Linked DNA regions of Nothobranchius furzeri. The protein of the gene in region 2 purifies or fractionates together with the protein of the main gene of each other region. This does not show direct contact. Links are inferred from orthologs where the notes say so. Each region holds a gene or a part of one and is shown on either strand. Other genes may lie near its edges.

Region 1 (6,359 bases), on a different chromosome or scaffold from region 2:
CCCGCATGGGCACACTGTAAGTGGGGGCGATGTCCAGGCTGGCCTGCTCCAGGGCTCCCAAGGCCGGCGGTGTGTAGACGGAGTGCACGGGTCTGCTCATGTAGAGGCAGGGTGGAGGGCTGTAGTCCTCCCCCTGTGGTCTCTGGTAGACACAGGAGTCTTTAAACACCTGAGAGGGGTAGAATTGATCTTCTCGATTCATGGCTGGAGAGGAGCGGAGGTTACAGGGGGGCGTTAGACGCGGACATGCACCCTGTTCCTGCCGCCCTTCCTCGGTGTGGACCTTCGGCTCCACCTGTGGCGCAACTGCAAGGCCCCTGCTCCACACAGGTGTGTCACTCAGACATCATGTGACCCCAAGGCGCCCAATTCATTGGCTCCAGTGTTTGCTCGGAATGACAGCGCCCAGTTTCCATGATATTCTGCAGCTTTTCCCCCTGAGTTGAACAGAGCAGTGCGTAAAATCGGTGCCAAAACGTTCACATACACCAACTCCGAGTGGAACAACAAAAATTTGGATACTTTCTTCACGCAGGACTCTCGTCCACAGACATGGAAGCAATCGACATTTTATGCGAATATGAGTCTTGTAAATCGATACTATGGGTGCAAACATTGGGTTGACCTGCGAGATAAGGCACCCGTTGTCTTGGAAACACACCTTAGTTTCCACAGCCTTTTATTTTAGTCCAGCTCTTTCTGACGTTTAAATCTGTCCATTACACTTTTCTAAATGCATCATTTAACACCATTTTTGCGCGCGCTGCCTCAGACGATAAAAAAAACCTTGGCGACGACAAACACAACTCTGCTGCACTCTCCTCGTGTTTGCTGGCCATTAATCTTTGTGTGTCCTCGCCCCATTTAACAATAGCCCTCTTGGTTAGTCAATTATCATGAAGAGACCAACTGAACTCAATTAACCGCCGTGCGCGTTTGGAGCGCGCGTCTCCACGGCCTTTTACGCACGACTTTCAGACGCATGTTTGTCACGCGGGACGAGCCGGCTTTTATTTTGATAGTCTGCGCAGCTTCGATAGACTATTTGCACTCAGATCTTCAAAAGCAATTATAGCACTTTCCAATGAATCTTAATGGCAGCACTCAACGGTGCAATAAAGTCCAGGTGAGCCATTTCTATGCAAAACACCCCCCTGCAATATGGCCTAATGGCCTTTATATTTGATCATTGTTGTAAAGAGGAAGGAAATTGTTAACCCAGGCTGTTCCATATGTGATTTATGAGGCGTGTTGCCCGTTAAGAAGGGAGGCAATCAGAATCAGACACTTTCGTCCCTGTAAAGTTGTAGAAATAATAAAAGACAGTGGAGTCAGAAAAAATGGAAAGATTTAATGGCCATCTGCCATCTCAAAGTGAGGACAATCACACAAAATCAACAGATTGTTCCTGAAACAAAATAAATGAAATGTTTTTTAGCTTTTTCATTGAGTAACAAACCAGTTTTTGACGGCATGTCAAAAAATGATAAAACATGCTTACTCTGTGGCGACAGCAGCGTGGCCTATGTAAACATCATGACACGTGATGAATAGTAATGGCGTTATAATAGAGATTAGGTCCCCCTCCTGTGACGAACACGGTTACACCTCATCATGAGTCACGAGAGAGACTGTTTGACCTCATTCTGTTGCATTTTATTGGGAAAAAAGAAAATAATCTACCAGTACGTCCAAAGAGACAAAACTCACTCTATTTCTCTGTAAAATGATATTTTAAATAAAGTTTTTCTCTTTTAAACACAAAGCAAACAGCAGCACCTCTCAGTCGGTTATGAGCTCCTGAGACTAAAAACAAAGCCGGTCCATTCATGAAGTCTGAATCCGTCTTTTTTTGTCTCTTTTCTGTCCATCGGCATGTTTCCGGTCTCTGTCGTCTTGGTGTCTGCTGCGTCTGTCCTTATCTCTGTCCGGCCTCTTATCTCGACTTGTGCGGCGGTCCATGTGAGGACGTTTATGATCCGAGGGGCCGCCAGTATTCCTGTGATCAGGCGGAGGCGTTCTGCTGCGGTCACGCTGTCTGTCCGGGGACTCGCTCCGAAGGCGTCCTCTTGTGGAGGAACATTTGGCTTGGGGTTCCTCTGTGCGCCGGTGCAGGCCCGTGGAGCGCAGGGTGTTGAGTAAGAAGCGTTTGTTGGTGCTCTGTAGAGGACACTTCAACCTGGAGAAAAATCCACAAACATCAGACACAGATCCAGAAAAATCCAGCAGTTGATGCCGAAAGAAGAAATTTAATTTCACAGATTCAATCAGACTTCAGCAACATGACTTTTGTGGGTGTTTTATCCCTTTAACTATAGAATAAAGAGGCTAAATAAGAAATTTTCACACATACGATTGAAATGCCCCAAAAAAACCTTTAATGTATATATATGATATAAGACCTCAAATTAAAATACCAACAGATAAGATAACTTTTAGTGCAAAACTAACATTTTTAGGAAGACACGTGGTGTGTTCAGATGGTTTAATGAGAACATGAGCAAAATAATCTAATATTTAAAATAATACTAGACACTAAGTAATTATCCAAAAAGAAAAAAGAAAAGAAAGAAAGCCAATCCACATGAGAGGGTCAGAGATATTTCAGAGCTCACCATCCTGCAGGACCCATGGTCTCTGCTCTCACCCGGGCTCTGTCAGTCTCCCTCAGGAGCTCCTCCACGGCGCGCCTAGACGGAACCGGACCCAGAACCAGGAGAATGAGTCATGAGACAAACAGGACAGAAATTCTGAGCAGATGTACAAGAAATATAAGATGAAAGTAAAGCGGACGTGTCCTTGTTTGACCCGAAATGAGTCTCATCACCAGATTGGACTCGCTACTTATGCCGACCTGAAACTACACACAACAGGCAGCTAGAGTCAACAAGTCAACTTTAAATACAGTAAACAACTCAGATCAGAACTACTAACAGACTGTTTTTCCGCAGCGTTACATTTTAGAGGGAAAATGTCTGCAAATGTGTTCAGACGGAAGTTAATAAAGATACATTTACTCACTTTTCTAGCTCATTTTCTTCCGCCATTGCGTCTTAATCACACAAAAACTCTTACAAATAAATAAAAACCTAATAAAACCTATAAATTTACGTTAATTTACGAGGCATTTCTTGTTCACTTCGCCGAGAGGTCCTTCAATCGCGGACCCTGTTTTTAGCTGCCCGGAGCAATGCCTGTTCAGTTGCAAAATCATGTTGAAAATAAGTTATGAAACCAAACTACATTTTTTATTTACAAGTAGATATGTTTGTGTATTATGTATTGATCTTTTTTAATTAAAATAATTGATATTTTTAAAAGTTCAATAAGTTATGGGGCACCCCTGGAAAAACATTTACAGCTGATTGTTTTAGCAACATTTGGCCACAAATAACTTTAAAACAAACATAGAATCAAACAAATATATAAACACACTTTGTTAAAAAAAAGGATTTATACTCAAATCGAAACGTAAAATGTGACATTTAAACTTGTACATTTTTTATTTGATTAAACATTTTCCATTGGGAACTAAGCCAACTTAATTCTTTGGTAAATTGTAAAAATAATTTAAATACATACAATGGCTTAATCAAAAGTAAAGTGATAGTTACAGAATATCATCAAGCAAGATATTTTAGTAATCTAGATTGTGATACATTAAAGGACAATAACAAACATTTTTATTTAGAAGTAATCTTCTTAAAGAAGACATATTATGCCTTTTGCATCCTTTTTGTGCCGCCATGTGCACTCTGCCTCTATAAACGCTCCAAACATGCCAATGTGTGGTTGTAGAAATGTTGTGCCTAAAACAAGCTATTTGAAATTGTCCCCAATTGTGACATCACAAGCAGGCCCAGTGCCAATACTCGCATTGCGCCCTGCAGTCTTCAGCAAAGTGCACTTGGAGAAAGTGTGCAGTAAGGCTTCGAGTGCGTGGACTACAACTGTGCAAATAATTGCTGAAGTGAGACAGGGAGCATTGCGTCATGAAACGCAACGCATGCCGAGATGCTGGTCCTGTGATACTTTTTCAAAAGCCTTTATTAACAACTTTTAAACAAACAACCCATTATTTGAAATAAATTTTAATTAATTGCTGCTTTGTCTAAAACATTCAGAGCATCAACTGATTGTCCCAAAACTAACTCATTCCATTAGAAAATATTCAGAAAAGGAACTTGAACCCTTTCTCCTGCAGCAATGACTTGTGGGTAATACACTTCACCCAGCACTGTAAGAATACTTTTGAGGCAGATAATTAAGTATATATTTGTTCTGTTTTTTTCTATTCTATTCTATTCTATTCTATTCTATTCTATTCTATTCTATTCTATTCTATTCTAATTTTTGTTCTGATCCTGTTTTTGAACAGGCGGTCGGTGTAAGCCACCTCTAAACTCAGCTCCGTAGACTCCTCCCATCACCTTTTGATTGGCAGCGGTGGGCGGGATCAGCGGCGCCAACGGTACGGGGGCGTTTTCTTGCGGGCTTGCGGAGCTCTCCGTCGGTTGCGGCGAATGCGTGATCGACGCCCCGCAGCTGATAATTGCTCCCCGCTTTGGGGCCCGAGTGGACGGCGCGGAGGAGCCGCCGGAAGAAGGTAAAACATCCATCACATCTGGAGACATCCATCTCCTGCATGAGCTGTGTCAGCGAGCGGGGTTGATGCTGTCGCCTCTTCTGTCCTGTCCTCTCGCGCCTCCGCTTCTGCAGGATGGGATGAAGTCAGACAGCTGGGGAGGGAGGTGAAAGAGGGGTGCGATGATTTTAATAACGATGTTGACTTAACCGGAATATGACACTGCAGTTTATGCAAGGCAATCTGGGACGACGACACCGGGAGGAGGAGAAAATGCTAGATTTAATCAAATCAGTGTCTGTTTTTGTTGTCACCCCTGCACGTCTGCCTGGAGAAAAACAGACAATTGAAACACACCTTGCAGGCCTCTTCTAAATAAATTTAAAAACATGGATGAAGAGATCGGGTCGAACGTAAGATAAACTTGAGTTTTAAAATCTGTGGCCTAAATTATGATGCCATTTCTGTTGGTTATTGCATTTCTGCACGTGCTAAAACCTTAGTTTGTCATTTGTGTGTAGACAAAATTCTGTCATTCGTTAATACAATACAAAGCATGCATGCATTCATACTTCTGCAGAGGACTATTGTCCTGAAAAAGATCAAAGTGCTTTGAGAGTTCTAAAATCCCAAAGATTATTTTCAGGGCCTGCTGGATAAAGCTCGTGTGCTTGTTTGCGTATGCGCGTGCAGGTTTACGCCTGCATGTCTACACGTCTGTGTGTGATGTGGTGATGTCACAGCTTTGTTACAGAAACAGAGAAGCCTTGTGTCCTCATGATTAATTCATGTCCAGCTGCGGGATAGAGACAGAAGCAGCCAGTCACACACAGACAGGAGCATGTGCTTGAAAAGGAGACAGAAATAAGGGGCTACTGGTCCCGTGGCCAAGGAGACGGTAGGGACAGGTTTGTCAGGAGACAATCTGTGCAGATCAAATCAAACGCAAGAATAGAAATGAACCGGAGGGACTTTCATCCTGCTCTGCGCAGTGTGACGAGCTTTCAGCATCTTGCTGGGAGAAGTGCATCTGTTGTTGCGCCTCCTCTGCATCCTTCGCTGGCTACACTCTGAATGTCAAGCCCCACTGAGCAGAACAGGATGCAGGTCGTCATGGAGACAGGAGCAGACCCTTTGCTGGAACAGAGGCAGGTAGTCACTGTGGCTTGGCCACTGAGCAGGGAGGCACGCCCTCTACTGTCCGCTGAAGGCATCGGGCCCTCTGGGGTGTTGGAGGTCTGGAAGGCTCCGAGTGTGAACTCTTCTGCAGCAGCTCCAGGGACTTCCTCTGTTTGTTTTATTTCAAGACTTTGCTTAAGGCATGTTCTCTTCTTGCTGTGGAGGAGATCAAGTTCATCCTTTGTAAATGGTCCAAGCCAAAAATATCAAGCGCCTAAACTATTTCTGCCTTCATGCTTTGCATTTTTTGTGAAATTTCTATTCCCTTCTTGGCCCTTTCTGTTTTTTTTATTATTTATTTATTTTTTCACAAATCTACCTGACCTCTTTCACCCATCTTCAAACCTCCTTCTCTCCTTCGCGGCTCTGCCCTCACTACCTCCTCCAGCTGATTTCCCAATCCCGCTTTCTCTGATCTGTGTCCTCTCTCTGCTTCAATCCCAGATAATTCCCTCTCGGCGAATTGGAAGATTGGAGTAGGCGAGAGCAAAAGAGAGATTATACTGTCAGATTAGCAGACAGGAGCAGCAACACATAATCTCAGCAGATTCCCACACAGAGTTCGGACTCACGGAGACACGTGCACACAAATCAT
Region 2 (6,526 bases):
AGATCTGTTGTTTCTTTTCAGAGATTTGTCTTAGAAAAATTCACTCTGATGTTTTACCTCCACAGATAAAAGAAGGAAAGAAAACAATCATTTATATAGCGCCTCACAAGATAAAAATGACATAAGCCTGGAGGAGTTCTGCTGCGTGGTGGATTTTCTAATAGGGTTGCAACTAACGACTATTTTAACAGTCGACTAGCCACAGACTACTGAAACGATTAGTCGACTAATCGGATAATTATTACACTTTTCTTAAATTTAGCACGAGACTCGCTGATCTTTGACCGCGGTGGACCAGCAAAGCCTGATATCCTCGGCTTACCTAGTTATAATTTCAATACAAAGCAGGTCGGAGGTGCCTTCATGTTTAAATTGCTCTACCTCGTTTTTCTTGCTAAAAACGCCCAGAAATCTCTGTTAGCTTTGGGTTAGCATGTAGCTAATGACCTGCTGATCTCTGACCGTGGAGAATGAGCTGATCTAAAAGGCCAGGGCTCCTGATCGCAGCGGTTTGGCTCTGCTTGTAGTTTAAAAGTCCCAGTCCATATTAGATCTCCAAAGCCGACCAGCACGACTACAGCCTCACACACAAGTCGGTCGGCTGTGAGAGTGGGCTACCCCACGGTCCCCGGAGCCCTTCTTAACTTCTTGGGTTAGCTAGTAGCCATATTGGTCACAATCCCTGTTGGGAACCTCCCATTTTTGGCTTCAACCTGCTCCCTGGTGGAGCAACAGGTGGGCTATGTTCATATTTTTATATGACGATGATTTCTGTCCATTTAAAATAACAAATAAAAACGTGAAGTTACATTTGGATGGCTGACTTCGTGTATCCTACCATTATTGATAATTTAATGTTCATGAATAATCTGTTTAATTGGTGAGGTCATTAGCAGACATATGAAGAAGTTTTACTTTTTAAAACTCCTAACCCCATTTCACATGTGGGACTATCGGATTCTGTTTCCTTAACAAGAGCAAGACAAAAAGACAAAAGCCTGGGAACTGATGTAACTTCAGTTTTCTGTTTTAAATGTAAATGAAAACAATAACGTGACTTTGACACTGAACCCAGGTGGAAACAGGAACTGATAACATATAAGAAACTAGGGCTGGGCGATATACCGATATTTTTAAAATATCGGTATAATTTTTAAACAAGATATAAGATGACTTTATACCTTTATAACTGGTCAAACTGCTATGCTAGTGACATGTTGCTCCGTCTCTAAGGGGTTATTACATGTATTCTCTCAAGTTTGCTCAATCTGAGAGCCTCTGGGTAAATGTGCTGGTCTAAACTTAGCATGTGGCGTTCTGGTTTTTAATTATTTGGGGACGTTCAACGCCAACGGAGTTCTGTTTTCCGTCCTGCTTGTGTGGAGAGACGAGTCAAACCCCTCCCTCCCCTGTGTAATGAGGAAACATCTACGGAAAGCCGGAGTGGGCAAATTACTTCAAACATATAGTAAGGGTTTGAATAGTAAACTATAGGGTTAACGTTTTATTTTGAAGGCGAGCTCAACGGGTGAGAAATGTTGCTCCGGGTTTTCCGCTGTGGTTTGTTATGCTAATAAATACTCCCGTTACGAGCAATTCTGTTGAAAAAGTTAAGAGTTTGTAAGGCGTGGGTTACGGCGACAGTAGCTCAAATATATTACTCATAAAAGAGCAACCAGAGACTCTGAGTCATTACAGTATAATCGCTGATATGAGTCAACACTGATAGATTCCAGCCATGTTTGCCCTGATAACTAATAACTCTATGGTGCATGACCCATGTGACCTTCAGTAGATGCAATTGCATCATCTACCTGAATCCTCTTGCAAAGGCTTACGTCTCGGCCTGGCCGCTCCGGTCATCACAGGATCGTCGGCTAGCAGTGCCTACACCACGCTCAGGACAATCCAGGCTCTTCTCATGCATCGTTCCACAAATGTGGAATGACCTTCCAAGCACTACCAGAACAGCGGCTTCTTTTTCAATTTTCAAGAAACTCCTGAAGACCCTGCTCTTCAGAGAGCATCTTCTTAACTAGCACCTTTCCTGCACCCGTCCCTCCCTCTAACGTCCACTCCTTTGTTCCCTCCTCTCCATGACTGATGTCAATGTTGTTGTTGTTATTGTTGTTGTTAGCCTCAAGGGCTACATGCCGATTATCACTTGTAAGTCGCTTTGGACAAAAGCGTCTGCTAAATACATAAACATCATCATAAATTTAGCCTAACATGATAGATTTTTGTTATGGACAAGAAATAAACGATATGGGCCACCTCTAGATGAAATCTAAATCATTTTACATTACTAATAAATATATAATAAAAAAGTCCCTGTGGGACATTTGATACACCTCTAGCTCTCAACTGTGTACGTGTGTGAGTGTGTGTGTGTGTGTGTGTGTGTGTGTGTGTGTGTGTGTGTGTGTGTGAGTGTGTGTGTTAGCAGACAGTTGTACCAGTGTTTCTAAAGCTCAGACTGGTTGAGAATAGGCACTAAGGTTAAAGTTGGACAAGAATCAATACATTTTTATGCATTTAATCTACTGATGTATGTTTATAATTTCTCAAGACAGCTTGAAGTGAGTTAACTTGGAAATACTTTACAGGAGGAAAAATATTGAGATATACATCGTATATCGGAATTCAGCTAAAAGATAGAGGAATAAGTTTGGGTCCATATCGCCCAGCCCTAAAACAAACCATCAACTCAGCATCAGCACCTACTCACCTGGTCCGGCCCAGCTGTCCCCTGATCAGCAGAACTCCTGCAGCATCAGCATCGAGCGCGGTCACCTTAAACTCCAGCTCTGTCCCGACTTTAGGACCAGCGTCCCTCCAGGTCTCTATGGACACCAGAGTTGGCCTGGGAATGCTGGCATTGAAACAACTGTGCACGAGGCAGCCAACATGGCTCACTCCCAGTTTATTCACTTTACCCTGTAGAAAACAAACCAACGACAGCAATTGGTGCTACTGAGATGACTTCTGATTAATTCTGTCCATCTTACCAGGAGTTTCTGTCCCCTTTTGGGCTGAAATACAATGAAGCTGGCTTCTATGTCCATGTGGATGTAGCCGCTGTCATTGTAGATGTCCCCATTTCTTCCCAAAATCCTAATGTTGTCATAGGCTAACAGCACTCCATTCAAACTGGAAGACACAAAACCAACAGCTTTAACTGGAACGGGAATACCAGCAGTTTTCCAAGCATACTATGACACAATCCTGACTCCATCTTTGACTTGAGCTCAAATAAACCTCCTGATGTTGAAGATATGTTACGCTGCTGATTCCAGTTGTTTAAAAAAAGATCAAATAGTTCATTTAAAACACAAAGAATACACCTTTAGCTGTCAGCTGACTGCCATAAAATGCAAGCACAGTGATTAAATCAGGCAATCCCGCCTGTGCTCGTCTTTCTACCTCTGGGAAAACTTCAGCAGCTCTCCGTCCAGCTCCTCCTGGATGCCAGTCTTCTTCTTGTTCAAGTACTGCGGCGCCAGAGCGACGTGTCTCCGGTGGGAGTTCAGCACCAGACACGAGTACGGCACCGGCAGGAGCTCCGACGCGGCCGCGAAGGAGGGGACCACGCAGCCCGCATCTCTGTCCGGAGCAGAGGACGGCTTCACCGGGGCGCCAGCAGCGCTCATATTGTTGGACAAGTCCACATGTTTTGGATCCTCCACAGCATGCTCGAAGTTCGCCATGCTGCCAGAGGACCGGAAGACAAACAACCGAGACTGTCGTGTTGAAGTTAGCGACTAAACCTTTATGCTGCCCCCTGCTGGCTCGGAGGTTCACTGGAGCAGCGCTCTTTGGGAGACCGTGAGCTAATAAGTACAAAAGATGTATTATATAGAAGATATTCAATTTTGTGATGATAAATGCAATAATAAGTTTCTAAGATCTTCATTAAGGAATCTTTTTGATCCAAACTTACTTAGACGTAATTACATATTAAAAGATTTCCAAAGGGAAGAAATTGAAAAAATAAGAAGTGATATCACCTTCCCTATCGCTCCTAAAGGGAAAGAAGTCCAATTTTAATTTTTGACCAAAATTTACCCAACCAATAGACTCCTTGGGGATAGATTCAATATAGAAGCTGGTAATTGTGTATTTTGTGAAACAGAAGAGGAGGACTTAGGCCATCTATTTTTTGTGCAATTTTATACAAATATTTTGGTTAGATTTTCATGCCTGGCTTTGTTCTAGTGGGATTCAAATTGCCCCATTTACCTTAAATATGATAATGTTTGGAGTGTTTTTGAAAGAAAAGAAAGTTAGTTATGGTGTTAATGTGTTATTAATTTTGTGTAAACAATTTATACATAAATGTCGATTTTTTAAGACCAAACCAACACTAGCCTATTGGAAAAACAACTTAAAAGTATTAGTTAAATCTTTGAATTTAGTTAAAAAGAAAAAGGCTGGTTTGTTATTTCCTTTGTAGAAGATTTTGAGTTAGTAAGTTAATAACCTGTTAATTATGTGACCCCATCTTTAGATTTTCCTTTTTTTCCATATACATGAAAATGTTGAATATGCATGTAATGATTATCTTTTGAATATATAATGTAAGGTGCATTTTGTTTGTATGTTATCTTCTCTAATAAATAAATAAATAAAGTACAAAAGATGTATTTACGCTGGTGCTCTCCACGTGTTAACAGTGCTATACTTACAGTGTTGCCATGTGTTGGATTCACAAGCTGATCTCTCTGTATTTCATCAATAATGTAAAAGAAAGTAAAACTAAAATAGTGACATTCCTGTTTTGAAACCCAGACTCAACAAAACATATTTTGTTTTTAACTAATCAGATGATGAGATATAAATCTGCTTTATGTGAATGATTGACATATTTTAAATGGATCAGTACATAACAGCTAAGTCAGTCCCTGTCCCTGAGCCCTGCCCAGAGCCTAAGCAGCAATGCCATTTTTTCATAGTGTTCAGCTATTTTGTCATAAATGAACAAATACTTCCAAAAACTACAGAATGTTCTGATTTCAGGTGAGGCATTGTAGCTGACCCACCTGTGAGAGAAAAACTGTAAGGCTTGTCTTCGGCACTCAGACATCAGTTCTGATTGTTTTTCAGCCGGACAGGACACGGCGAAGAACTGTCTCAGAGATCAACGTTTAATCTCCGGACTAAAGTTAAAAAACTATTTAGTCTAACTTTAATTAGAGTCCACAGCAGGTTTAGCACCTTTCAGTTTGGCAGGTTTACATGGTTCAGTGAGGAGTTTTAAATCAAAGTAACTCATCTTTATGTTTAGTTTGTTTAGAGGGTAACAGCATTATTAGAGCTAAATAATAACATAAGCATTATCACTGATCTGATGCACTAAACCCATGCACTCTCATTATATAAGCTTTAGATCATGCACAGATACATCTGGAAAGGGCATTGATTCTGCATCCTCTTCACATTAAAACCATTAGGGTGACCTGGGGTGTCAGCTAGTGTAACACACACACACACACACACACACACACACACACACACACACACACACACACACACACACACACACACACACACACACACACACACACAGTTCTAATGTTACTCTTTTCTGACAGCGCAGCACCACAGGAGGTGCCATGATCAGCTTTCCTCCCTGTATCCCTGATGGGGTCGACTGCAGATCCTGATGCTCTCAGGGGTGCTGTGGCCCCCCTCTCCTGTCCGTTGTCATGGTGATAACCAGTGAAGTGGTTTCCTGAACAGCAAGAGTGCCTAGCAGTTTCTGCTGTGATGGGAAACAGCTAACACACACACACACACACACACACACACACACACACACACACACACACACACACACACACACACACACACACACACACACACACACACACACACACACACACACACTTTCACATGCTGATGGTTGATGTGGACTGTCAGGAGGTGTTGGCAGGTGAAGGGTCTGTTCAAGAACACAATGACAGAGACAGAAAATCAGAGTTCAAACCAGAAACCCACCGGTTACAGGACAAGCCTCCACCTCCTGAGCCACTGTCACCCTGTGCATCTCCTCACCTTGTCTCCAAAGCTGAGGCTAACTACCGTTGAGAGGTAAATGTAGTGCTTTAAGCTTAATATATTACCTTTACTCATGACCAATAAGCTGTGATACTCTACGTAAATATAGAATATCAACCTGCTTGGTCTTTGAGTGTTTAATCAGCAGATTCTAGGATTCTTTGCTTGTTCGGGGATCAAACACACTTCGTCTTACTTCAAGGAGAGGGTCAAGTTTATAAAAAGTAAGCAATTTATTTTCTAAACAATTAAAAACATGACAACTAGGAAACACTTAGGTGATGAATACATCCGAGTGGATGGAATGTGAGGCGTGATGAAGTATGAATGTGATGTTATCAGAACCTTCATATCTGGAGAAGCGAGTTCTGAGTGGAAGTGAATTTGGTTTGCTCTAAACTAATTGATGGTTTCCAAAACCACATCAGACACAATCTTGTGAGTCCACGTACCCGTTCTGGAGACCCCC

What was found. Proteins that work in one complex are often made in the same cells at the same time.
Region 1: the proteins of polr1f (region 2) and si:ch211-140b10.6 purify together in Homo sapiens (affinity purification with mass spectrometry; 3 studies listed by BioGRID and IntAct, counting the BioPlex papers as one, with this or other methods). This does not show direct contact. The link is inferred for Nothobranchius furzeri from reciprocal best matches to the Homo sapiens genes POLR1F and POLR1D.

What each region holds. Positions count from the first base shown.
Region 1 is NC_091747.1:51,104,343-51,110,701, reverse strand, and holds si:ch211-140b10.6 (protein POLR1D), read right to left. Parts: upstream 3,193-6,359; 5' UTR 3,048-3,192; coding exon 3,022-3,047; intron 2,691-3,021; coding exon 2,616-2,690; intron 2,180-2,615; coding exon 1,828-2,179; 3' UTR 1,332-1,827; downstream 1-1,331. Other genes in the region: pdx1 (pancreas/duodenum homeobox protein 1), read right to left, coding at 1-202.
Region 2 is NC_091751.1:28,040,425-28,046,950, forward strand, and holds the start of polr1f (DNA-directed RNA polymerase I subunit RPA43), read right to left. Parts: upstream 3,753-6,526; 5' UTR 3,708-3,752; coding exon 3,424-3,707; intron 3,151-3,423; coding exon 3,009-3,150; intron 2,938-3,008; coding exon 2,729-2,937; intron 1-2,728. UniProt on the Homo sapiens protein: Component of RNA polymerase I (Pol I), a DNA-dependent RNA polymerase which synthesizes ribosomal RNA precursors using the four ribonucleoside triphosphates as substrates.